3 linked regions of the Struthio camelus genome follow. The protein of the gene in region 1 purifies or fractionates together with the protein of each later gene. This does not show direct contact. Links are inferred from orthologs where the notes say so. Each region holds a gene or a part of one and is shown in the gene's direction. Other genes may lie near its edges.

What was found.
Region 2: the proteins of GRB2 (region 1) and PTPN12 purify together in Homo sapiens (affinity purification with mass spectrometry; 3 studies listed by BioGRID and IntAct, with this or other methods). This does not show direct contact. The link is inferred for Struthio camelus from reciprocal best matches to the Homo sapiens genes GRB2 and PTPN12.
Region 3: the proteins of GRB2 (region 1) and DOCK4 purify together in Homo sapiens (co-immunoprecipitation; 4 studies listed by BioGRID and IntAct, counting the BioPlex papers as one, with this or other methods). This does not show direct contact. The link is inferred for Struthio camelus from reciprocal best matches to the Homo sapiens genes GRB2 and DOCK4.

What each region holds. Positions count from the first base shown.
Region 1 is NC_090960.1:8,334,827-8,342,022, reverse strand, and holds the start of GRB2 (growth factor receptor-bound protein 2), read left to right. Parts: upstream 1-4,190; 5' UTR 4,191-4,275; intron 4,276-5,189; 5' UTR 5,190-5,372; intron 5,373-6,093; exon of another isoform or gene 6,094-6,229; intron 6,230-7,196. UniProt on the Homo sapiens protein: Non-enzymatic adapter protein that plays a pivotal role in precisely regulated signaling cascades from cell surface receptors to cellular responses, including signaling transduction and gene expression.
Region 2 is NC_090942.1:13,931,953-13,939,915, reverse strand, and holds the start of PTPN12 (tyrosine-protein phosphatase non-receptor type 12), read left to right. Parts: upstream 1-4,952; 5' UTR 4,953-5,064; coding exon 5,065-5,163; intron 5,164-6,415; exon of another isoform or gene 6,416-6,717; intron 6,718-7,963. UniProt on the Homo sapiens protein: Dephosphorylates a range of proteins, and thereby regulates cellular signaling cascades. Dephosphorylates cellular tyrosine kinases, such as ERBB2 and PTK2B/PYK2, and thereby regulates signaling via ERBB2 and PTK2B/PYK2.
Region 3 is NC_090942.1:31,277,322-31,285,241, forward strand, and holds the start of DOCK4 (dedicator of cytokinesis protein 4), read left to right. Parts: upstream 1-4,909; 5' UTR 4,910-5,021; coding exon 5,022-5,058; intron 5,059-7,920. Other genes in the region: ZNF277 (zinc finger protein 277), read right to left, coding at 4,604-4,661. UniProt on the Homo sapiens protein: Functions as a guanine nucleotide exchange factor (GEF) that promotes the exchange of GDP to GTP, converting inactive GDP-bound small GTPases into their active GTP-bound form. Involved in regulation of adherens junction between cells.

The sequences.
Region 1 (7,196 bases):
TGGGCAGGAGGCTTCATTGCAATGCAGTGAGTGACATTCTGTTTTAGACACCAAGCTGAAATGTGATCTTGAACGTGAAACACACCACTCCTTAAAGTTCAAGGCATATCATTTGCATGTTTAGGAACACCACCCTGAAGTCCTTCAGTGCTATGAAGCAGTGTATACAACAAGGGTGTTAGACATACAAAAGACTGGTTGCAGAGAGGGAATATTCCCTGCCAAGAGAAATTCAAAAGCTGTTATAATGAACAAGGTAATAACAGCTTGTAAAAGTAACGAGTGGTACATCCAGCACTGCCTCATCATCATACATGCTTAGGGCTTCTCCAAAGTCTGAACCAACTGATCTGAAACCCATAAGCAGCTCAGTTTCTCTCATCTTCCCTATTTAAGGTGTGAACAATAGTTAGATTATAGACATTTCAAACAGAGAAAGCAAAGAAGCCACGTCTTTCCTGTGCCAATCTGGATATACAAAACAAGCAAAAAGTTTCATTTTTCAGAGTAGAATTACACTTTTAAAAGGATTTTTATTAAGAGCCAAAAATTCAAAACAAAGCTAGTCCTAGGTATGTTAGGATATCCTATTATTAGCACAACTGTAGCCAAAGGCAAAGACTGGCTACAATGAGAAACAATCTTTCCTAAATTTCTGCACTAGGTTTCTTACTGGAGCCATCTAAAATGTAATGTACCTACTTTCCCCCCATCCCCCAAATACAGGCTCTATCAGAGTAAAAAGCCTGCAAGAATATTTGCAAGAACTATGCCATGCCAATTAAAATCACCTATCTGCACTACAGACACCTTGTGCACAATCAGAAAACACAGCCTCACAGAACGAGGAGCTGAAGCAATTCATGAATTCTGTAGGCAACGGGCAATGCACAGATCTGCAGAGACCTGCAGAATCCTGCATTCATCTGCTCCACCCACTACAAGGCCCTTGGGTGCTCCCCTCCCCTCTATTTCAGGGATCCCTCTAATTCCCACTCTCGCACATGCATCTCCCCATCACCCCTACCCAACAGCAAGGCTATTTTAACTCCCTTCTGTCTGCCTGGGCAGTAAGTCACTCACGCTGTCAACACATTAAACTCTGCCAGACAGCAGGGCAGAAATTAAGTGGGATTGCTTTGGGGGAACATGCTAGTGGGCCTGCTGTGTTAAGCCACAGACAGAGATGCTTGAAGCTGTGGCTGTTCTAACCAGACACCATAGGCTCTGACTGCACCCAGTTTTCCTCAGTCTTCCCTCCATTCTCCTCAGGATGCTGTACATTGATGCCTAGAAGCCAATGAAATTTAGAACTGGCTGATATGGCGTTCAAATTTCAGCATATTCAGGCGATTAGAACCAGCATTCAGTAATCCAGATCTTTCCAAATTAAAAAAAATATTCCTATCACCCTTAACTCACTTCTGCTCAGGAGTGCTCTGAGGGAAGAGCACTTCTCGTAGCCTGATGTGATTATCAAGTGTTTGAAGCATCCTTCTGAATATCAGAAGCAGAGCTTTGCAAGGGTCTATTCAAACATTCATATACCTAATCATCTTTAGAATAACACTGTCGTATGGAAACTACAGATAATAAATAAATGCTATGCTTTCAGATCTTTCATCCAAGGATTTCAAAGCACCACAACCCACTAAACCTCACAACATCAATATGAGATATCAGTGCTGAAATTCAGCAGGAAACTATATAGCATGGTACCTAATGTACAAAATTTATAACATGATTAGTAAAAAAGAAAGATTAGATAATTAAACAACCAATAGACACTTGGAAAGAAAACTGTGTTTCAGAAGCAGCACACACTCCAAGTCTTTGGGAAGAAAAAAAAATCAACTTAATGATAGTGTTTTCCATGAAGTGGTGCATCGCTGATACTTTCATGTTATTTACTGAAAATTCCCAACATGGATGAATCTATAAAAAATGATGGGGAGTCTGAACATCTCTTGCTGCCAAAAGTGAATTCCTCAAGAACAGAAGTCTGATCTGTCACCCAAAATAGAAACACAGGGGAGCAGATAATAACAGAAAAAGCAGCTGCCTTGCAAAGAACGGCTTAGATTAGAGCTGACTGTTTTGATATCAGCAGAACCATACGGTCCTGCTACTCACGAATAGCTGATGTCTGCCTGATAATTTGCAGCATAGGCACATTTGCAGACAGATGGGCTTCCAAAGGTGCATAAAGTGACACTGTCAATTGACTTGAGACCCACTGAGAGTACAAAGTAATTACAGCAAGAGAAATGGCACTTACACTTTTGTCTTCAGCATCTGCCTGTGAAGAACCTAACTTGTCAAATTTGGGGCAAGCTATACTTTCTCTGCCTCGATATTCTTGTGTTACAGGAGGAATATACATATCTGCTTCACAGAGACACTGTGAAGCAAATTCATTAGTATCTGTAAAATAAGTGAGACCCTCCGAATTAGGGTTGTGTATGTGCTAAGTATTATCAACTCACTGGTGGTCAAATGCCTCAGTTGTTCGTGGCTGTGAAGACTCCATAGTGTATTTCAGAGAGACTTCATTTCTCTTGCTAAAATGACAGGAATTAAGAGAGTGCTATCTTGAATCAGTAACAGAATTAAACTTCGGATGAATATAAAATTTGGCTTCCAATTGACAATTATGCCTTTCTAGGGTAATATTAGCTTTTATTCAAATCCTATATGCAGAGAGTTTTCCAGGAAAATTAAGCTCTGACTTCTTCCTTCTTTCTTCAGCGAAGGACTCACACATCAGACTGTTGTTCCAAAAGACAGTGGGGACTTAAAACAGAAACTGGGCAACAAGGAGGGAGGAAGGGGAGTAAGAAATAGCTTTGGTGCACCCATTTCTATCTCAGGTATGCAGCCCTCAGTAACAACATAGGTTTACTTGCAAGATTATGATTGGTAAAACAGGATGCAACACAATTAAAAGAACAGATGTAACACAATTAAAAGAACATATTTATTTTTGTTTTAATTTTGTTCTGGTGAATTAAGAAGTAACTTTACAGATATGATCAAAACAATGATCAGTCTACTTTAATCTATCTTACTGTCTCCACAGAGGCCAATACTGTTTCATATTACGGTATAATAAATCTGAAAGTTATTTGCTGTGCTCATTTTCATTTCTTGGAAGAAAAAAAAAAAAAAAAGAGAGCTTGTGGATTAAAGATAGCTTTTATCTTTTCTGCTTCAGGTACTTGTTTCCTTCTCACAGCCTCTGAGCCCGCCACAGCCACATGTATTCAGCCTGGTTTGAAGGGAAAAATGCAACAAAAGGCCCAAATCTGAATGTCATCAGGGCCCCTCCAGCTTCTGCAGCGGTGGTGAGACATCATCTGCTTTGTGGGATGATGCCTTAAATGAGAACTAAAACATTTTACAGCAGATGTTTGGAAGAATTCACTGCAGAAGTGACAGATGTCATTCATCGTCATGACTTAGTAACTATGGTAACCAGGATTGTATAACTATGTCTATTAACAAAAGTACCGATACACCAGAAAAACTCAAAAAGGTAACAGCCCAAAATAAAATTGTTAAAAGCCCAAATTGCATGTATAGGATCTCCTGGAAAATCAGGAAATTTTTGCTGACCTACAGAGGCCCACAGATAAAAGTGCAGCTTTTTCCTCCTAATTCCAGCTTATAAGTAAGGCTGTTATAAGCATAATTGTTTACAGTAGAGGTAGGCAGAAACACTCTTATAGCAGTGTTTGCCACCTGGAGATATTTAACAAATGCAGTGCTGATGGGCTGGTGCTCTCTAGGAGTTCCCCAGAAGAGGCACGGCACCTGAAGGCCATTAGTAAGATCAAGCTCCTACATACATTCAAAACAAAGCGCAACTGTTATGTAGGAAAGGCATTGACTAGTTCAGTAGATCGTGTATTTTGCCATTCTCACAACAAGTTTCGTTAAAGCTTTGTGATCAACAACTTCTGTACCCTATTTACTGTACACATGGTCCCATATATAATCACAGATAAATCCAACCAACCCAGAGCAAACTCTGCTCCTTGCAGGCCAGGTGGCAGGACTTTCCCTCTGGCCAACCCTACAAAAGGACCTGTCTTTTGGCCAGACCTTCTTGGCCCCAGCCCTGCTCCTGGCCAATCCCCTCCAAGTCACAGGGGTATATAAGCCCTCACAACCCACCCCCTGCTTCTGGGATGTCCTTTTGTTTACAGCAACTCGTTCTCAGGAGTGCTTGCTCTGGCTTCTCATGGTCAGAGTCTGGATAGGAATGTAACAGAGGTAAGGCTGTCCTCAAAGTTATAGAGACTTGATGTGTTTGAGATGTAACATATTGGAGGAAAAAGGGTTGTTTCCTTGGTTCTACTTGTAGTATTAATATATATATTTTTGTGACCTAGGCTAAAAGTACAAATATCTTAACCTTCTCATTAATTAAAAATGTTGATAATGTGTTTGTTAAAAAGCCACAGTTAAGAAACATGTATATGCAAAGGTTTTTGATGTGCTCAGGTAAAAGAGAACAAAGAAATATAAGCTACTACTGCACAGAGCACAGGATATCTTATATAAAACCAGTATAGCCTAAGTACTTATACGCTTCTATTAAGCAGATCTCTTTTGAAAGAAAAACAACTATGCTTGCCAGGTTATTCAAGCTTTGCTATGATACTTGAGCAAGCCCTTTAGTTTAACAGAGTGCAGTGGGCATCAAAGTGTAACACTTTGTTTACATAAAGAATTAAATTTTGGAAAAACCTAAAGTATTTCATAAATGTTATGCACTACACAATTGTATTTCACTGTGTATGAGCTGTATGTTCAAATATGAACTTATTCTACTACAGCAGTTGTAGTATAATAGCTTTTTTTGAAAAGCATGCTATAAAACTTTCCCTCAAAAAAAAAAGAAAATAGTATGTATTACTTGGCAGCTGCCTCAGGAAGATGGGTGAATGCATTAGGCTGGTATCTGCAGCTGTCTTGGTAACTGATAAGACTAATTTGGAAGAAACTTTTTTACAGTATGAGTGTCTTTTTGTGTGGATTGAGACTTAAATGCATAACCAGAACACCCTCTACACCTGTGGGCAGGTTCTCCCTCCTTTTTTGTCTACCTTTTGGGTAGACAGGATTGTCTAAGATAAATTCCTTGTACGGTATGTAATGGGACTTTTAACTGGGGTTTTTTTTAGGCCTTTCCTTATCAATAAATGGCTTGTATTAACCTGAAAGGAGGAAGCTTCTGAACAACTGACAAACAGTAATAACATAATCCAGGAACTACAGAGATCCCAACTTTTGGAGAGGAAAACAAGCGGAAGTCTGAGGCAAAGCAGAATGCCATAGACGCCTGCTGATCAAAAGCCTGCAAGGAGGTAGGAGCAAGAGTGAAGCAAAATGAAACAACCGGCTGTATTAACAGATGGCGGCATTATCCCAGGCTGCCATCTAAGCTTGTAAATGATCTAGGTAAGCAGGTTAAGGGCACTTTATTCAGAATTTTGAATTTTCCCTGAAACCTTCATGTACAGTATGAAGCGTGCCATGACAGCAATGAGCCAGTGAAAGCTAGTTCAGTGTGTTATGCAAACTCCTGTTAGGTCTACTTCAGTTTCCCTTGCTTGCTTTGGGTTTTTTGTGTGTGGCAGTGGGGGCACTTCTCTCACGGGGGGGTGACTTCCCATCCAACTTCCTCCTGGGAGGAGATACTGTGGTGTGCAGGAGCCTGGCTCGAATAAGCAGACTGGCCGGGGCCCCGGTAGCCCCCACAGCTGCCGAAACGCCCTGGCTGCGCGTCCCCCTGGCTAGGGGCAGCCGCACCCACGCGTGCCCCGGGTTGAGGGGAGCGTGGCGGCCTCCGCCCCCGCCGAGGGGCGGCAGGAGAGCCCGAGCCGGGTGCGCGGCGTCTCCCCGCCCCGAGCCGGGGGCGGCCGGAGGCGACGGCGCCGCGGGAGCCCGGGGGCGGCCTGGCCCGGCCCTGCCTCCGGCCTCCCCCGCCGTGGCGACCCGGGTGGGGGCGACACGCCAGGCCCCGCTGCGCGGCGGGTCGGTGCCCGGCCTCGCCCCGCCGCGCCGCGCCGCCCGGCCTGTACTCACCCGCCGCGCCGGGCCGTCTCGGCGGGGCAGCCGCTCGCCCGCCGGGCCTCCCCCCGCGCCGCCGGGGCCGCCATCTGGGTCACTGGCACCCTCCCCCCACCCCGCCAGGGCGCGAGGGACCCGAGGCGGCGCTTCGGGCCCCCCTCAACAAGCCGGCGCCTGGTTGGTGAGACCCCGCGCGGCCGCCCGTACGCGGTGCGGTGATTGGTTAGGCCGGGGTGGCGCGCGAAGCCGAGCATCCGCCCCGGCGGCAGGACGGGGCTGGCTCTGAGGAGGACCTGAGAGGGCGGCCCGCCCTGAGGGCCGGCCGCCCGGCCCCTGCGGCGGCCAGGAGGAACACTGCCGCCACGGCGGCGACTCTGTCCCTCCGTCTCTGCCCGGCTGCTGCGGAGGGGGAGCAGTGCTGGGGGGATGCAGTCCTCCAGGGATGGAGGATCTGTTTTTTTTTTTTTTTTTGGGGGGGGGGGGGGGATGCTGAGCGCCGCCTGGGGCCCCGGTGCTGTGACAGAGGCAGATCATGGCTGGGTGGTGCTGTGGGGGGTGAGGGAGGGGGGCTCCCTGACAGGGCCGTTGCAGGCTTCCCCCTCTGAAAAGCTACTTTTGTCGTAGAGCGGCGGGAGGCTCCTTTGGGAGGCCTCTAAGGAGTCGTGAGGTGAAGGCCCGAGCTGGATGCCAAAGGCACAGGAAGCCAGGCCACACAGTAGGAGCGAACATACTCAGCCAATGATTTGGAGAGACATCTACACTGCTGCAGAGTCTGGGGAGGAAATCGGAGGGGTGTGGTAGAGAGGGCTTGCTTTGCCTCTTTGTACGGAGGTTTGAGGTTTTTTGTGTGTGAATTACAGTAGACAGGCTGACTGGAGAGATGTGTCCCCCTCAGGCTTGATTCTCTTACTGTCCCCGTAGCTCTCTGCAGAGGCTGTGATGCCACAGGTTCCACATGAGGTTTTTCTCTGCAAAACTGATGTTTGTTAGTGTTAAGCTACTGATGACAACCTGACACGGTTATCTTTAATTTTACAGCAATAAAATACAGAACACAAGGAATTCAAATCTTGCATGGTTTTCCTTGTGGATGAGGTTTTGGACAAGAATGTAGCATT
Region 2 (7,963 bases), on another chromosome or scaffold:
AGTGAAAAACTGCAAACTCTTGAAGATGTGGATTCCTCAAGTATTTATACAACAACAAAAGGACATTTTCTCTTTTGTTCTTGATTCCTTTTCTACTGATTTCCAGCACTATGTTTGCAGTCACTTTACCTGGCGATTATACTCCATGTGCCAGTTCTTGCATGTGCCGGGTCCTTATCCCAAATTGTACTGTCTTCAATGGTAAAGATATTTCTACATCTGTAAATATAACAGTGTATTGGTTTTGTCAGAAAGCAGGAAAACTGGCAAAATTGTTTCATGTGAAAAATTTAACTTTTGCAGAAATAGCATTTCCCATTGGAAACCCACATTTTTAGACAATTTCCAACCAACTCTAAATACATTGCAAAAGCATATTTTAAACCTTATGAAAGCATATAATTTTTATCCTAAATAATCTTGATTATAAAAATACTTTTCAGACACTCTGTATAGATAAAATTTGTTGGGATTTCACGTCCAGGACATATTCATCATAATTGAATTATAATTACAGTAATATTAATAATTACACACCACTGTTACTAATATACTGTTACTCCAAACAGCTAGCTAAAATATGAGCATTTGTAAGTTATTGTGAAAGGGAGGAGAAATAAGTGATGAGGTCAACTATTACTGTAATGTAATCGTGCCAGTTTAAAAGGAACATACCAAGCCTTGCTCTGCAGAGGAAAGGAGGAATCAAACAAGGTGATGCCCTTACTCAGAGCTGTAAGGCTCTTTCAGCCTCCCCCGCAGCTCAAAAGCTCTCTTTGATTTCTTTAGGGAACAGAGTTTTGGTAGGATCTGTGCTATTTTTTGAGCATGAGTCCAAGCCCATACCAGAGCCCAAACTGATATTGCAGACAGTTCTGCGGTGAGACTATGCCCCACCACAGTCTTCAGGCAAACTCTGAAGCTTGGCAAGCTGGGAAGTTTGGGATCCTGCTACTTCTTCCTACACCCATCCATTGGCTGGGCACAAGAATGCTGTCTGTGCCACGAAACACATTTACTAGTTAATGACACATGCTTACCTTGTAGGGACAGAAGAAGCTATCTCTGAACAAAAAAATGGCTGCCCTCTGTCCTTGCAAGCAGCTGGAGTTGTGTGGGGGAAGGCAAAATGAGATTAATAGCAAAAAAGCTGCAGGTGAGCTACCTGAGTCTCTCCAAGGACCATACTTGTATGGATTGTTAAGATACAACCACCATGTACTTCTACAGATTTTGGTTGCAGCTTCCTGTTCTATCTGCAGGGTGAGTAATTCACCCTGTGTCTTGCTCTCTTTTTCCGCCTCTCTCCTACTTTTACACATATATAGACTCATGCACACATGCTAGATTGGTCAGACGTCTGGGTTTAGCTCAGACAGTTTGAGTTTCAGATCAAAAGTCTGGGTTCAAGCACTGTTTCTGCTGCTGAAAGTTTAGGTTTCTGTGTTCACGCCAGAGAGATGAGACAGCCCAGCGCAACCGGGTAAAACTAGTGCTGTTGGGTTTGTGCTCAGGAATATCTGGCAACTCTAACACGTACACATGCCTATGCAAACAATGCTAAGTAAAGTTCTCCACCCAGGTATTTCAAATTTCTTTGTTTTGTATATGCCTTTGTTTTGGCTGGTGACACAGGCCTGGTTTGGGGGGCTTTTTTTTTTTTTTTTATTTTTTTTGAGATTGTATATTCTTCTTATTAGGTAACTCAAATGAAAGGTCATTGTTACATTTGCACTGTAATAAACTGTTTTAAACTCGCAACAACAGATTATGAACCAGTCCAGATCAATATCGTGTGTATTTTTGATGTAAGGCAACGACGACATAAGAACCAATGCAAGAAACTATGACCTTTCCTCCTCTGCTGATCACAGAACGGTTTAGGTTGGAAGGGACCTCTGGAGATCATCTAGTCCAACCTCCGTGCTCAAGCAGGGACCTCTAGAGCATATTGCCCAGGATCACATCCAGATGGGTTTTGAATATCTCCAGGGAAGGAGACTCCACTACCTCTCTGGGCAACCTGTTCCAATGCTCTGTCACCCTCAAGTCCTCTGTAACTCTTATCATGTGAATGAGTGAGTGGAGTGAGGAAGACCATACCACATTCAAGACTTTTCATCCATGCTTAGTCCCAACGATCATTTTTTTACAGTTTCATGCCTTCTGGCCCGTTGAACAGGTTTGCCAGGCAACTACCGAGCAAATTAAGCAACTTTCCTGAAGCAAAAAGAAATTAAAGTGGTATGAAAAGATCATATGAAGAATCATCACATTATTGTCCCTATTATTACTTACATATTGCTGTTTTTGTTGTATCCTTACTGGTCTTTCCAAGTCATATCTATCCTTCCGGGTGATCACTATTGTGCCCTTTCTATCTATGGCTATGTCCTTTTTTTTTTTTTTCTTTTTTTTTCCTGTTTCCCCTTAATGCTGCTTTAAGGTAGGAGAAAAAGAGGAGAAGAAGAGGAGAAGGAAAAGAGAGATTAAAGAAAAGCAGGCATCTTTGTGGCTCTTCAGGGCTGATTATCTCACAGAGACTGAAGGAAAGGACATGAAAGGGCAACCAGGCTCTCCCAGCTGACGTGATTGTGTTGGATATTCACGCTACTTTTGTGCAGTGGCGTTGAGGCTTCAATGCACAAGGGAGCTCCTCAAGACTCAGTACCTCAGCACAACACTGACTCCCTTTCCCAGTTCCTTGATGTGTCCTTCTGTCCCTCATGCATTAGCCTCCAAGACCACTAACTGCTAAAAAAAAGCCCTTTGCAAGAGGCTGAAGTCTCTAGTAAATCATGCAAGAACACAAACCCTCCCAATTTTCCAGCCTGGCCCTCTGCCACAGATGATTGCTTCTGCAGCAGAAAGAAATGTGTGTCCATGCACCAGCAGCTGCATAGTTCATAGTCCTTTGCCTTGGCTCAAAACTTCCCTTCGCTAGGAATATACGTTAAGTTGATGGACAGTGATTTGGGCTGAGGGTGGAAAACACGCCATTTTGCTGACTCTGTTATCAAGGTGGTAATCCTTAGCAGTCATCAAAGATGGCAATATCTTAGATCTCAATAGGAAGGCCAAGTTTTATGTAGGTTTGTTTCAGTAGCAAAGCCAGCTTAACGGTATCATCTCAGAGGAGGAAAAAAAACCCATACCTTTTCTATTGGGTTGTATTTCAGCTGAATCAGCTCCTTGACCTGGCTCGGTGTATGGTCCCACAAACTGTTTTGCTTGCTCAGCTGTGAGGGCAACATCCTACTGTGGGTGAGAATTAGTAGTAGAGAATGAGTGATTTGGTAGAAATGCCTTTATGGGGTTATGCTGCTCACATAGAGCTTCTTTATTAGCCTGTGTTACAAAATTTTATTGTACTAACTACATCAATAAAGACTGTGCAGCTCTTTACCAATAAAATGATGCTTAAAAACATTACTAAGTATATTTATTATGCTATAAGGCTATATATACACACATAGAATTATTTTGTTTTCCTGAAGCAGAAGCTATAAATGTAATCAGGGAACTAAACCTGTGGACAATATCTTAATGAGTTTAATCATTTTATCTTATCAAAAAAAGAATACAGGTGGATTTGCACGTACAGTGGGTGAAAATTCCTGCTTTTTTTGAACACCTTAACTTTGAAACCTTTGTTGAAAAGCATTAGGTATTTTTAGCTAAGATTGGACTGCTTCACTCTGACATTTACATTTTTCCCTTCTGAGTTTATTAAGCCCGATATAAAAGCAGAACTAACATTGTAGACATGATGTTATTAATCATAATAACACATCACAATAAATTAACTTCTTAATGTAAAAGAAGGGCCAAAATAACACTCCTTCATCTTACTGGCTCTAAACGTCTTGACATTACCAACTTTAAGAAAGCAAAACATATTTTCAAGTAAAAAGGATCGACGCCCCTGAAGACATTTCCCTCGCAACAACATAGCATTTTTTGGAGGAAAGAAAAAAAAAACCCCTCCTCCTGTCAGAGCTTTTTAAACCAGATCTAGACTCCCCGCAATACTCTGAATGCGACGACAAAGGTCCCCACTGAAGAAGGAACGGTCCGGACCCCCAGCGCCTTAGAAACACCCACGGGGCAGCGCTGCCGCCAGCCGCCTCTCGTCGGATGAGCGCAAACACAGAAAAGGGGGAAAACAGCCGCCGGCGCGGGGCCGCGGCCCGCTGCCCCCGCCATCTTCCCGCCGCCCCGGTTTACCACAGCGGCGCGGCCCGCTCGGCCTCCGGGGCGGGCGGCGGCAGCAGCCCTGCACCCCGCCTCGGCCTCCTTCCGCGGCTTGAGCCTTGCCTCCCCCCACCCGCGGAGGGGCCACTTCCCGCCGGGCTTTTCAGCGGGGACCCTCAGCGAGACGGTAACACGGACAAACCCGCGCCGCAGCCCCGCCTCCGCCGCTGGGCTGCCCCGGCGGGCGCCGCCGCCCCGGCGCGACTACAGGTCCCGGCATGCCGCGCGCGGCGCCGGCCGCAGCCCCACAGCCTGGGAGCTGTAGGCGCCCGGCAGCCCCGCTATTGTACTCGGGCCAAGAGAAGCCGCGCTCAGGCCTCCCCTCCCCCGCTTTCCCAGTGGTGCTCCCCCTCGGGGCTGGGCTGAGGCGGTGATTAGCGTGCGCCGCCACCAATGAGACGGGGGCTGAGGCGTGAGGGGCCAATGGGCGGGGAGCAGGGGCGGGCCGACCCCCTCCCTCTCCGGCTGGGCGGGAGTAGGAAACGCCAGCGGGGCTGGTGGCGCGCCTGCGCGGGGGGAGGGAGAAGAGGAGGTGGGGATTTCGTCGTGTGGTTGTGTCGGTGGCGGCTCCCGGGGCGGGCCGGGCCGGGCCGGGCCGGGCGGAGGGAGGGAGGGAGGGGAGAAGAAGAGGAGGAGGAGAGAATGGAGCAGGCGGCCGCGCGGCCGTGAGCGGGGTGGGGAGCCGTGCGCGCGGCCGCGGGGCAGGCAGGCCGGGGCGGCGGCGGCGTCGGTGACGGGCTCGCGCGGCGGCGGCTTGAGGCGCGGAGCGGAGCGGGCGGGGCGGGAGCTGCCGCTCGGCCGGGCGGCAGGATGAGCCAGGAGGAGATCCTGAGGAAATTCATCCGGCGCGTCCAGGCCATGAAGGACACGGACCACAATGGGGAGGACAACTTCGCCAGCGACTTCATGGTGAGGGGCGGCGGCGGCGGCGGGGCGCGGGCCGGGCTCTCGCCTCCCCTCAGGGCTGGGGAGGGTCCCGCCGGCCGGGCCGGGGGGTGGGAGGGCGAGGTGCCGACCCCCCTGGGCTGCCGCTGCCCGGTTCCTGCCGCTGCCCTCGGCCTCGCCTGCCCGATCCCGCTGCTCGTCAGGGTGGGAGGGGGGAGGAAGCGGAGGGAGAAGCATCGCTTCCCTCCCTGCCCGTGACCCACTATTGTGTCGCCGCGGGGCGCGGACGGCTGCCGCCGGCTCTCCGTGAGCCCCCCCGGCGGGGGGGGGGGAAGGGGGGCGGCCGCCGCCTTCGCCGCGGGGCGCCGCGCCGCCGCAGCCCCCTGCGCCAGCCCCGCTCCCCGGCGGGGGGCTCCTCGGAGAGCTTTCGCCCTCATCGCGGTAACCGGCCGTTGCCAAACTAACCGGCGGCTCCTCTCCTCCCCCCCCCCCCGCTTCCCTTCCTGCGGAGATAAAGGGGACGGGGCGGGCTGTGAGCTCCTGCCCTGCCTGGCAGCCCCTGCCCTCGCGGCTTGCCTGGTACCGTGTCAGCTGGGGCTAAGCGGGCGTTTCTTTCCCCCCTTTATTCGTCTCTGCAGCTGCCTGCTTGACGCTCTTATCCTTTCCGCGGAGAGATGTTAAGTGTATTAAATATTCCTCGGAGGAATACGCATCTTCCCGTTGGTCCCCATCCCCCCATCGCAGCCCCGGCTGTATCCCTCGTCCTTTCTTCCCTCCAGAGCAGTTCACCGTCGGCCTTTGGTTAACGTGTGCGCTTGGGCGGGGAGGGGGAGGAATTTAAATGGAGAATTAGGTCTTTTTCCTGGTTTTATTTTAGCTGCTTAGTCGGGCTGCTAAAATGTCTGAGGTGGTTTATCTTTTGAATAGAAGATATAAGCCGGGGACAATAACTCTGATTGGGCAGATGCCGCTGACACTTTTCAGTATTGTTTAAACACTTGATATGAAAATACAATTTGACCCGCAGAAGAGCTAAAGGATGGCAGGCTCTGCGTATCTTGGTAGCTCTCGTGGTTATCTGGCGATGTTTGGGATAAAAGCACGCCGTTAGCCTTTTGAGCTCTCAGCCTTTGATAATGGTCTGGGAACAAAAAAAAAAAAAAATCTGGATGTGAAGTGCCGCATCAGGGATTGTCTGAGCTGCGGGGAGGAGGCTGCGGATGTTGCGCAAGGCTGCGGGGCGCTGGGAGCGCTGGCAGGTCGGCGGCGGGGGAGGAAGTGGACTTGGGAAGCGGCGAGGCCGGCCGGGGCGGGGAGCGGCGGGGCCCGTGGGAAACCCGCGCCCGCCTCGGCAGCGATCTGCCAACACCGGAATATTCAAGCATGTGGGAAAGGAAGAGAGAGGCGATGGGAAGTTAAGAGCCCCATTCGAGTAACAGTGTAATTCTAAGGTCGTTTCACGTAATGCAACGTCCTCACGTGGTCATTCAAGAGTTAAATATGCTGACAGGACCTTTTCGTTAAACGATTGTCTTAGAAATATGACTGCTGTTAAATATAGATCGATCCATTGTACTGGTGAGTCTGCCTTGTTCTCTTAAGCTAAACATTTTATAGAAAGGGTATCCTGGACTGGTGGAAAATGTGGGATTTTTAAAATAGCCTTTCTGTTAAATACTTTAAATACTAGATTTTGTAATCAACTTTTGCTGTTTCATATCTGATCAATAGCCTAATGCTTTACCTCTGTTATAGTCAAATTGCATACATGTGATTTTTTAGCCTTTCTTATAAGTCATGACACTTCTGTATGGAAACTTTTTTTTGTATTTTTGCATTTCTGTATTTGACAGCATGTTTATACAGCTTTCAACTGTTTGGTCAGTAAGCTTTGCCGTTGCTTTCGTAGAGCATCAAGGAAAGAAAGTGCTTTTAAAAAAAAGTGGAAAATGTGGTTGTAGAAACTAATCGGCAAGGCATCTCAGGAGAAATATGTATTACCTGAAACAACAGTAAATCCTTTGAAAGTGATTGCATTTTTTTTGTCCTTTTAACACTTTCTATTTCAAACTCATTATGCTTTATTTCTGCATAATAAATTAAAGGGAATAACTTAAAGGGAAGCGGGGAAACTAGAGTGCTGGTCTTTGACATGATATTCTCATTACTTTCAATATTCATCTGCATATAAATAAAGCAGGATGGCCAGATTAGGGTGATCACAAGAATTGTAATTGCTGAAATTTTTTCACTAAGAACAAATGTATTTTTGCCATGCTTCTTTCACAAAGCCATGCTTAGATGCTATTTAAAACGATTGAAGTGAGGAAAGAAAAGAGAAATGAAGAGGGTAAAAACCTTCCATGTGGTTTTCTTTAATAGTTAATAGCGATTTTTCTGGGAGGAAGGGAAGAGGGAGGCAGTATTTCTCATTTAAGTGCAGGATGTACTGTTGCTGCTAAGCAATGGCAAGTTAGTGGAAAAGGAATTGCTGTTACTCATCGCTTCATTTCCAAGTCGAGATGGAGTCTAAAAATAGACATGGAATAGTGAGTGAATGCAACTGAAAACAATTTTTTATTTTCACATCTTTATTGCTTCAGTAATTGGCTTACAGAATTATTTTTAAATCTGAGTGAGTGAACTGAGTACTTCATAGGTATCAGGGACTTCTGGAAGAGGTGGTAAAGAAGCTGGAATCATGCAGTTATAGACTGCAGTTGACTGAAGTCTTCTGATTAGTCTGACTGAATGTTACTAAAAGCCCATGGCATAGATAAGTTTGACCGCTATTTAATAATGCCATTGATGTACCTAAAAACAT
Region 3 (7,920 bases), on another chromosome or scaffold:
ATTTTACCTTTTTACTATTCAAATATAAGAGATCATTTTACCAATCATAACTAAAATAATTTCCAGTCCTCCCTATGGTCTGTGTGCTTGTCAGGTAACCATTTAAAATGACTATCGGACTACATTTGTACTTATAGATCATAACAAATGATAACAAACATTTTCATGCAATACTGTTTTAGGAGATTCATTTCTGTAATCGTATTAAAACGAATTGTATTGAACTTACAGAATTAAACACTGAACCTATAATCCAGGTGCAACTGCTGGTTGTTGCTGTTCATAATGATTAACCTATGTCATACCAACATCTTTTAAGGAGCTCATAATGCCTACCCATTGAATGAAACTCTTCCCCTCCCTCCAAAATTCAGCACTCATGTCTTGGTAAGTGTTGCCTCACATTCTTTACTGCTGTTGGAATTCTATCAGGCCTGATGAAGCTTAATCCTGTGGAAGCACATGCAGAGACTGTGATGGGAGATCACAGATGTGGAAAGGCAAGAAGGGTTGGAAGCAGGCACAGAGATGGTCTGGAAAGTGGTAAGGTGAGAGCGGTTAAAGAGATACACAGGAATTAAAGGTGGCATAGAACTTTTTTTTTTTCTAAAAAAAGCATGGAATGGCAGGAGTGGAAAAGGGATACAAAAGCAGTTTGTGTATGACAGTTAGTAAGATGAATAAAAGAAGAAATGGCAATAGGAGAGAAATTGTCAGACCAAAGCAACAGCGTGGACAGCTGAGCCTATAAGCAGGCTGCCAGTCAGGACACTCCTGAGCCCTGCACCTGATCACTGCTGTCTGTCCTATCTTATGAAATCCTGTTCTAATTTTTGTGTAATCTCTCTATCCCATGTGCATGATTGCTGCAAGGTCTAAATTCCAGCAATCAGAGGGACTGGCACGCAAGAGAGGTCTGGCTGCCAGCAACTGAGGAAGGGACTGCAGGCCATAGGGCTCATAGATCTGGGTGCCAGCACTGGAGAGACTGGAGCGTGTGTTGACAGGTCAGCTGGGTGCCAGCTGCTGTGGAGGGACCATGGCCCAGAAGGCTTATACGCCAAGGTGCCAACAACTGAAGTGGCTGTACACACGACGTAGGTACATGGGGCGTGCACGTGAAAGGTTTAAGCGCAGCAACTGGAGAGACCACGGTGTATTTGTACTTCCGTAGCAAGTTTTAATCTTGTGTCTGTATGTGCAATTCACAGCTAGCATCAAGCTGAACTAGCTAGTGAGTAGGAAGAGATCCACATTTGGAAAGAATCAAGGTCTGAGACAGGAGGCGGGGAAGAGGTCCAAGGTCCAGGCATGGATATTACACAGAGGAAGAGAGCCCATGCTGACATTTAAGGGATCTGTGAACTTGGGAGTGCTTGAGAATCTAGAGAGTAAAGGTGTGTTTTCTCTATGAACATCAGACCTGATCAGCTGGAGAGAAGGAACAAGATGGGGCAGACAATGTTCTTGTTTATGTGAGCAGGCTCAGTGTTTAGGAGGGAGTGATAAAGGTACTGTTCTGTGGCAGTCTTTGCGGCCAGCCATTTAAGTTTTGTGCAGGTGTGCATGCCTCTGAGTACATGCTCAGCCTTGCTATTGGCCTGAACTGCAAACAGAAACAGCAGCAGCTGCATCCACCAACTAAGACAGAGAGACCTCCTGGGTCTGAGAGTACTCTGGATTGGACTTCAGTGACCGGGAAAGAGAAATCCCTGGGTCCCACAGTCTATTGGATTTGGCAGTGCTCATAAAACTCTTAAGAAAGGGAACTTAGAATTGAAATAAAGAAATGAGGCTGACAGCATCAGATACAAAACAACTTTCACTGAAACATCCTCTAGGCAGTTAATGAAAAACGTAGATTTTTGCAAGACCAGTCAAACTTGAGTTTTCCACAGTGAAGCTAATTCCCCTTGAAGTGGGACACAAGACAGTTGTGGAAGGAATAAGAATAACATGCCATGATTTGACATGGTATGCTCTAAGAAGACAGCATTAAAAGGCATTTGAACACATTGAAACCCTGAGTAGGAAATCATAACTTTTAGACTATGTCTATGTAGCTATGAAAGACACACTTCTGGAAGAAACCTCATTTTAGAAATCACTGACAGATGCTGTTAAGAAATGCTGACAGGTAGCATAATTAATGCAGACTGCATAATGGGCTGCTGGAGAGAACTAATAAGAAAGCCACATAGTCCTGTATTAGAATATAAAAGCGCAGTCTTTCCTGTAAATAGGAAATAGGAAGTCAGGAGAAAGTGTTATATCTAATTCTCCTATATCCTGTCTCCAAAGAAGTGACACACCTTCTCAGGGGCACATACAAGTTGCACAAGAGGTTGCTAGAGTGAACAGTTTTGCAGAAATGAAGCTTCTGGAAGAGTTGGGATTTTCTCAAAATCGGAGACATGGTAAACGTTAGGGCATGGTATTTAGATTTATACTATAAGATCTGTTATCTTAAGTGACTAAATTTTAAATTAATAATTTTAGAAAGGATATTTCTCTTATTTGCTGGTTTTGTCCTTGTCAAAGGGAAGGAGAAAGATAGGCTCTGAGCCTAATACAAACACGCTGAAGTCAGTCATGGTTAACATGAGGGACAGCAGTTATGAATGGCAGAACATCATGACTCCCAGCCAACATGTTGCCAGCCCTCTCACAGAGGCAAGGCTAGTTTGGATGCACATGGAAGTCCACAGGCTGGGACAGAAGTTTATTTAGCCTGGCAATAGTAATTGGTCCTATTCTTTTGAATTGGAGGAGTCCTCCTTCTGTAGTGACTTTAACACATTTTGTCATCTAGGGACTCCAAAGGATCTCCCACAAGATGTAAAGTGGGTCTGGGAATCCCGAGCAAAGCTATTAAAAGTTCAGTGAGTTTTTGAATTAGTAATAGGAAAACAGTATGTAGTTCAGGTCTCTAAATTCCAATGGAATAAGTTTTTTTCATACCAGTGCCCATGTCTTTACAAGACCTCTTTGGAAAAACCTCATTGTCTCTTCTTCTCCGTAGCCCTATATACAGTGTCACACAGAAGACTTATACAGACACAATTGTCTAACTTTTTTAACGATTACAGTAACATAGCTCCACCTGTAGATGCAATTATACTAGCCTGGAAGTGCTGTAGAAGGGTCTACCTTTCTGTACAGGAAAAGTTTATGTGAACGCAATACAATACATACAAATAAAGCAAAAACGCTGCTTTAATTACTAGCATAATTAAAATGATACTATGTTATGCACAGAAACAGCATACAGACTACAGAAATAACACAAAGGTCACTTAAAAGATCAGTCACTACCTAAGTTTGACAACTAGAAGGAGAGATACAGAATAAACGCATTCTAACAAATGGGTTTGAAGCTGCCTGTTTGCACCTGACTTTTAATTCTATTGCACCTTTCACGCTATAGGTGACCCAAAAATTCAGCAAAAATTGGCAGCAGTGCGACCAGGGTTTGCATTAGAGGGTAAAAAATAACCTAAACGGAAACAAATTTGAACCATTTTCCTCCCTTAAACGTGAAAAAATTAAAACTAAAATTTTTTGTTCAGCTCAAACAGAACCATCTCATAAAATTTCTGGTGAGACTGACGATTTGATTGGAAAACATTTTGTTTTAAGCAGACTTAGTCATCGTAGAGATGATTTGTGCCTGGCGAGGCCTGCAGAGTGGCATCGCATCATTGGAGGTCTTCCCTGTTTTCAATCTGTTCCTTCCCACAGGACCAGAACAAGCTCTTGCCTCTGCGTCCCAGTTACTCTGGTTCCTCACGCAAAGATCAGTTCAGTCTAGGACCTTCTTGCGTTTTACCTGAGGTGAGTTCTACCTAAACTGCTCCTGGAAGGGCACAGCTGTATTTTTCTAGGCTTCTCATCACGGGTAGAGGAGTGGGTGTTCCTACACTGCCAGACTTATCCCAGACTGTCACCCAGCTGTTCCGTTTGTGCTCCTCCCTGTACGCCATCCCCCTTTCTTTATCTCCGTGTATGTGCCTGGGGAGATACAGATTTATTTGGGAGGTCAGAAGGCCGCCCAGCTGGACAGCTGGATGTCCCACCTCTCTGGCACCCCTTACAGCTCCAGCATAACTCACTGCTGAAGCTTCTTCCTCTCCCCTCGGTTTCACGTGCTAAATCCTCGGCGCCGGGGGGGAGGGGTGCTATATTTTACGAAGTACAGGAGTGGCATCAGCAGGACCCCCAAAAAAGGACTTTCGCCATCGGAAGGCTCGCCCAAACCCGTGACTCTCTTCATATTTAAAGACTCTAATCAAACCCATTTGTGAATTACTGCTCCGACCAATTAACAATCGCAGGCCTGAACCAGCCTAACTTCGGTCACAGCTGCCTCTACCCCGGAGCGGTGCTGGCGAGGCGCCGGTGTCACCGGCTCCCACGCGCGCAGGAGGCCGCCGGGCAGCTCCGCGGGAGCGTACGCGGCCCGCAGCAAGCTGCTCTAGCCGCGCGGCCACGGCGGCACCACATCGCCCCTCCCCCAGCTGCCCGCGCGCCCCGCGCCCACAACGGCCGCGCCAGCAACGGCCGCAGAGCCCCCGCGCCCCGCCCCGCCCCGCCCCGCGCTCACCGGCCCGCTCCGACGGGACCGCCGCCGCCGCCGCCGCCGCCGCCGCCGCCGCCGCCATGCCGCCGCCGTGGCCCCGCCCCGGCGTGAGGCGCGGCCCCGCCCCCGCGGGGCGCGCGGGGCCAGTCGGGACTCGTAGTCTCCGCCGGCCGCGGGCGCGCAGAGGCGCGGCCGCGCCGAGGCGCTGCGTTCCCCGGCGCCGCGGGACGGGGCCATATAACTGGCTGGGCGGCGAGCGCGCCTCAGTCTGTCGGCCGCGCAGGAGAACAATGCCTGTGCCGCCGGAGCTGGAGCCGGGCAGCCGCCGCTGAGGCGCGGGCACGCGCGGCGGCGGCGGGAGCAGCTGGCAGGGGCAGGCGGACGCGCTCGCCGGCCGCTGCCGCTCCGCGCCGAGCCGAGGAGTTGCCGCCGCGCCGCGAGCATGTGGATACCCACGGAGCACGAGAAGTACGGCGTGGGTGAGTGCGAGAAAGAGAGCCCGCGGGGTGCCCGGCGGCGGGAGGGGCGCGCCCGGGCGACCTCGCGGGGCCGGGGCGAGCTGCCGTCGCCGACCTCCGCGCCGGCTCGCGGCGTTGTGCGAGCGGCCGCGTCGCCCTTTCCGTGCGGCGGGGGGTGGACGGGCGGCCGGCCGGCCGCGGCGTCCCGGTGACGGGGGGCGGCCGGCCGCTGCCTGAGCCCGTCCGCGGCCGGCACGGCGGGCTGCCGCCCCCCGCGCGGCCCCTGCCCGCCGGCTCGCGCGGAGTTCAGCCCGGCCCCGGCAGGAGTCCCCGGCGGGGCCGGTGTTGCCTGACCGGCCGCCGGGGGACAGCGGCGCCCGGGAGCCCCGGCGGGAGTGAGGCGGCCGCTGCCGGTGCCGCGGGCTTTGTTGGCGCGGGAGGGCTTTTGTCGCTCCGCTCGCGAAGCCCAGACAAAGTGCCGTTCGCGGGAGTCACGTTTTCGTGCCTGTTCCCCCCCCCCCCCCCCCTGCGGCGGGGCTCTGGAGCCCGTTTGAATTGACTTATGAAGCGATTAGGGAGGCTCATTGTGGTTTTTTTGACACCACCTATTAAAAACCCTAATGCTTGATAAGCCTCGGTGGCTTGTCCCGGACAATAGCCGTGGTTTGACACGGGCGCAGCCCGAGCCGTGGCGCCGATCCCTGGCGTCGCAAGGCGCTTTCCGTGTGTTTACGTTGCGTTTGAGCATGGAGTTGTGTATGTTATGGGAAAAGCACGAGGAGTGCGGAGACCTTCTTTGTGTGCGCGTGTATAACGGGGCGCGCGCGCCGCGGAGCAGATAGCGGGGAAGCCGGCGGCGCGGCGCCCCGCTCCGTCCCGCTTGGAGCGCGTCCCAGGTGTTGCTGCCCTCCAAATGTTAAATTATAGAGATCATCGGTGGGATTTATTTTCTTGACTTCTTTATTTGCCGGGTCACAGCTGGGCTGCAAGATATTGATTAGCCTTGCCATTCGCCTTTCTTTACAACGATGGGCAGAGGCTTAAAAACCACTGTGGGACTTCCTGGAATGGCATGCAGGATATTAGCAGTCAAGTATTTCAAGCTGCAGCCCTCCTCTTGGTCTATTTATTTATTTATTTATTTTTGAGCATAACGGGCTATTTCACAACTGACCCATTTTGGGGGAGAGGGGGGGACAGCATATGAGCTAAAAATGATTGTTCTTTCATAATTAAAAAAAAAATGCTTGGCCAACCCCCCTCCCTCGTGTTTAGTAAGCCTTATCAGGTGCTTAAACGTGAATCGTTGTCCAGCTTTTTACTTATAAGGGCTTATGTTACCAAAATCTTACACCTGTTAAAGATGTATGGTTGTAGTTTTTCAGTAGTGGCCTTTCTGTGGAAGAACCAGAAGAATGTAACTCATTGCAAGAGTCCTCTTTGTCTGTGTAAGTATAGTAGTCACAACAAGAAAGATGCTTATTGAGATTCATTCTCTGTTTTTCTGTGATTTGCCTTCCAAAGACTGTTCAAGATAATAACAAAAAGCAACTGTTAAAATTTGGTTCCTCTCCACCCCTAGGACAGGGTTGGTATCATAGGTCATACAACCCTTGCAAAATGTTGCTATCCAGAAGCCATTTAATCTTTTTCAGGCACTGTTTTATATTACATGTTTATGGACTTCCTTGTTGAGTACTGTCTGCAAAACCTTTACACCCGATTGTAATAAAGCTATTGTACTCTGTGACAGGAGTGAGGGAGGCAGGAGAAAGTTGTCTTGTCATATATTATTCTTTAAACTTCATGTAGAGTGGATTTTGTAAATAAACTAGTGTTTTACACATACACCCCCACTTCTTTAAATGATGGGATTATTGTGTTTACAAACAATTTTGTGCCTTGTGTATGTGTGGTGGTAGTATTATTTTTTTTAAATACTGTTATATTTAACTCCCCTAGTAAAATGGGCGCATAATAAAAACCCCTTTGAGAATCCTGATTGGTTAGACCGAACATATGTATCCTTGGTACGAGAGCTCAGGGCTCGTATCAACATCAGGGCTCATCTGCATTTTCAATCTGAATTTTGCAGCACATGCTGTGCGCTGCACATTTCTGCTGTCACATGCCAAAATGGATGAATCACCAGGCAACAGCCACCTGGTTGCACTGAAGGGTTGCTGGTAACCAGGTGGCTGTTGCTTACTTGCACAGCCTGACTAACTCCTGCTTTGAGGAGTATGTAATACAAGTAACACAGTCTTCTCTTGTACACATTTGTGAAACTTATACATGCTAGTTGCTGGCAATTTTTAATTGTTTTCTGCTGATCAGATTGGTTTACTCTTCTGAGTTTATTTACTAGTAGATAATGTTTCTTCATTATGGCAGTACAACTGTTACTTTTATGGTACAAAGGGTGTTGTGTAGTTTTGGGGTTTTTCTTTCTAAGGCTATAGACCTTACCAGTTACTATCTTCTTTCAGGATGCCGAAGGTGAAATAAGCTTCGGAATATTTTCATTATTGAGAAAGTTTACTTTGTCTAGGTTTTGATACCTTTGTTCTGGAATCAGAAGGTTAAACTTCTGTATTTCGCTCTGTTATGCTATTTGTCTTTGTATAATGCCTTCAGCTGTTGTGCCAAACTATTGACATCACCACACAAAGGCTCCACTGGACACTTCTAAGGAGTATTTAGCACAAAGTAGCTGATGTGAGGGTAGGAGCAGTGACACTTCAGATCTACCAGTTTGCTAGAATTAACAGCCAAAAAAAAGTCGGATATAGTGGGAGTTGGCTCCCATAGAATTTCTAATGTGCTGTTCTATATGAATTTATAAGGTGCTGCTTGCAATACCCTTTGAAATGAGTCACTTAA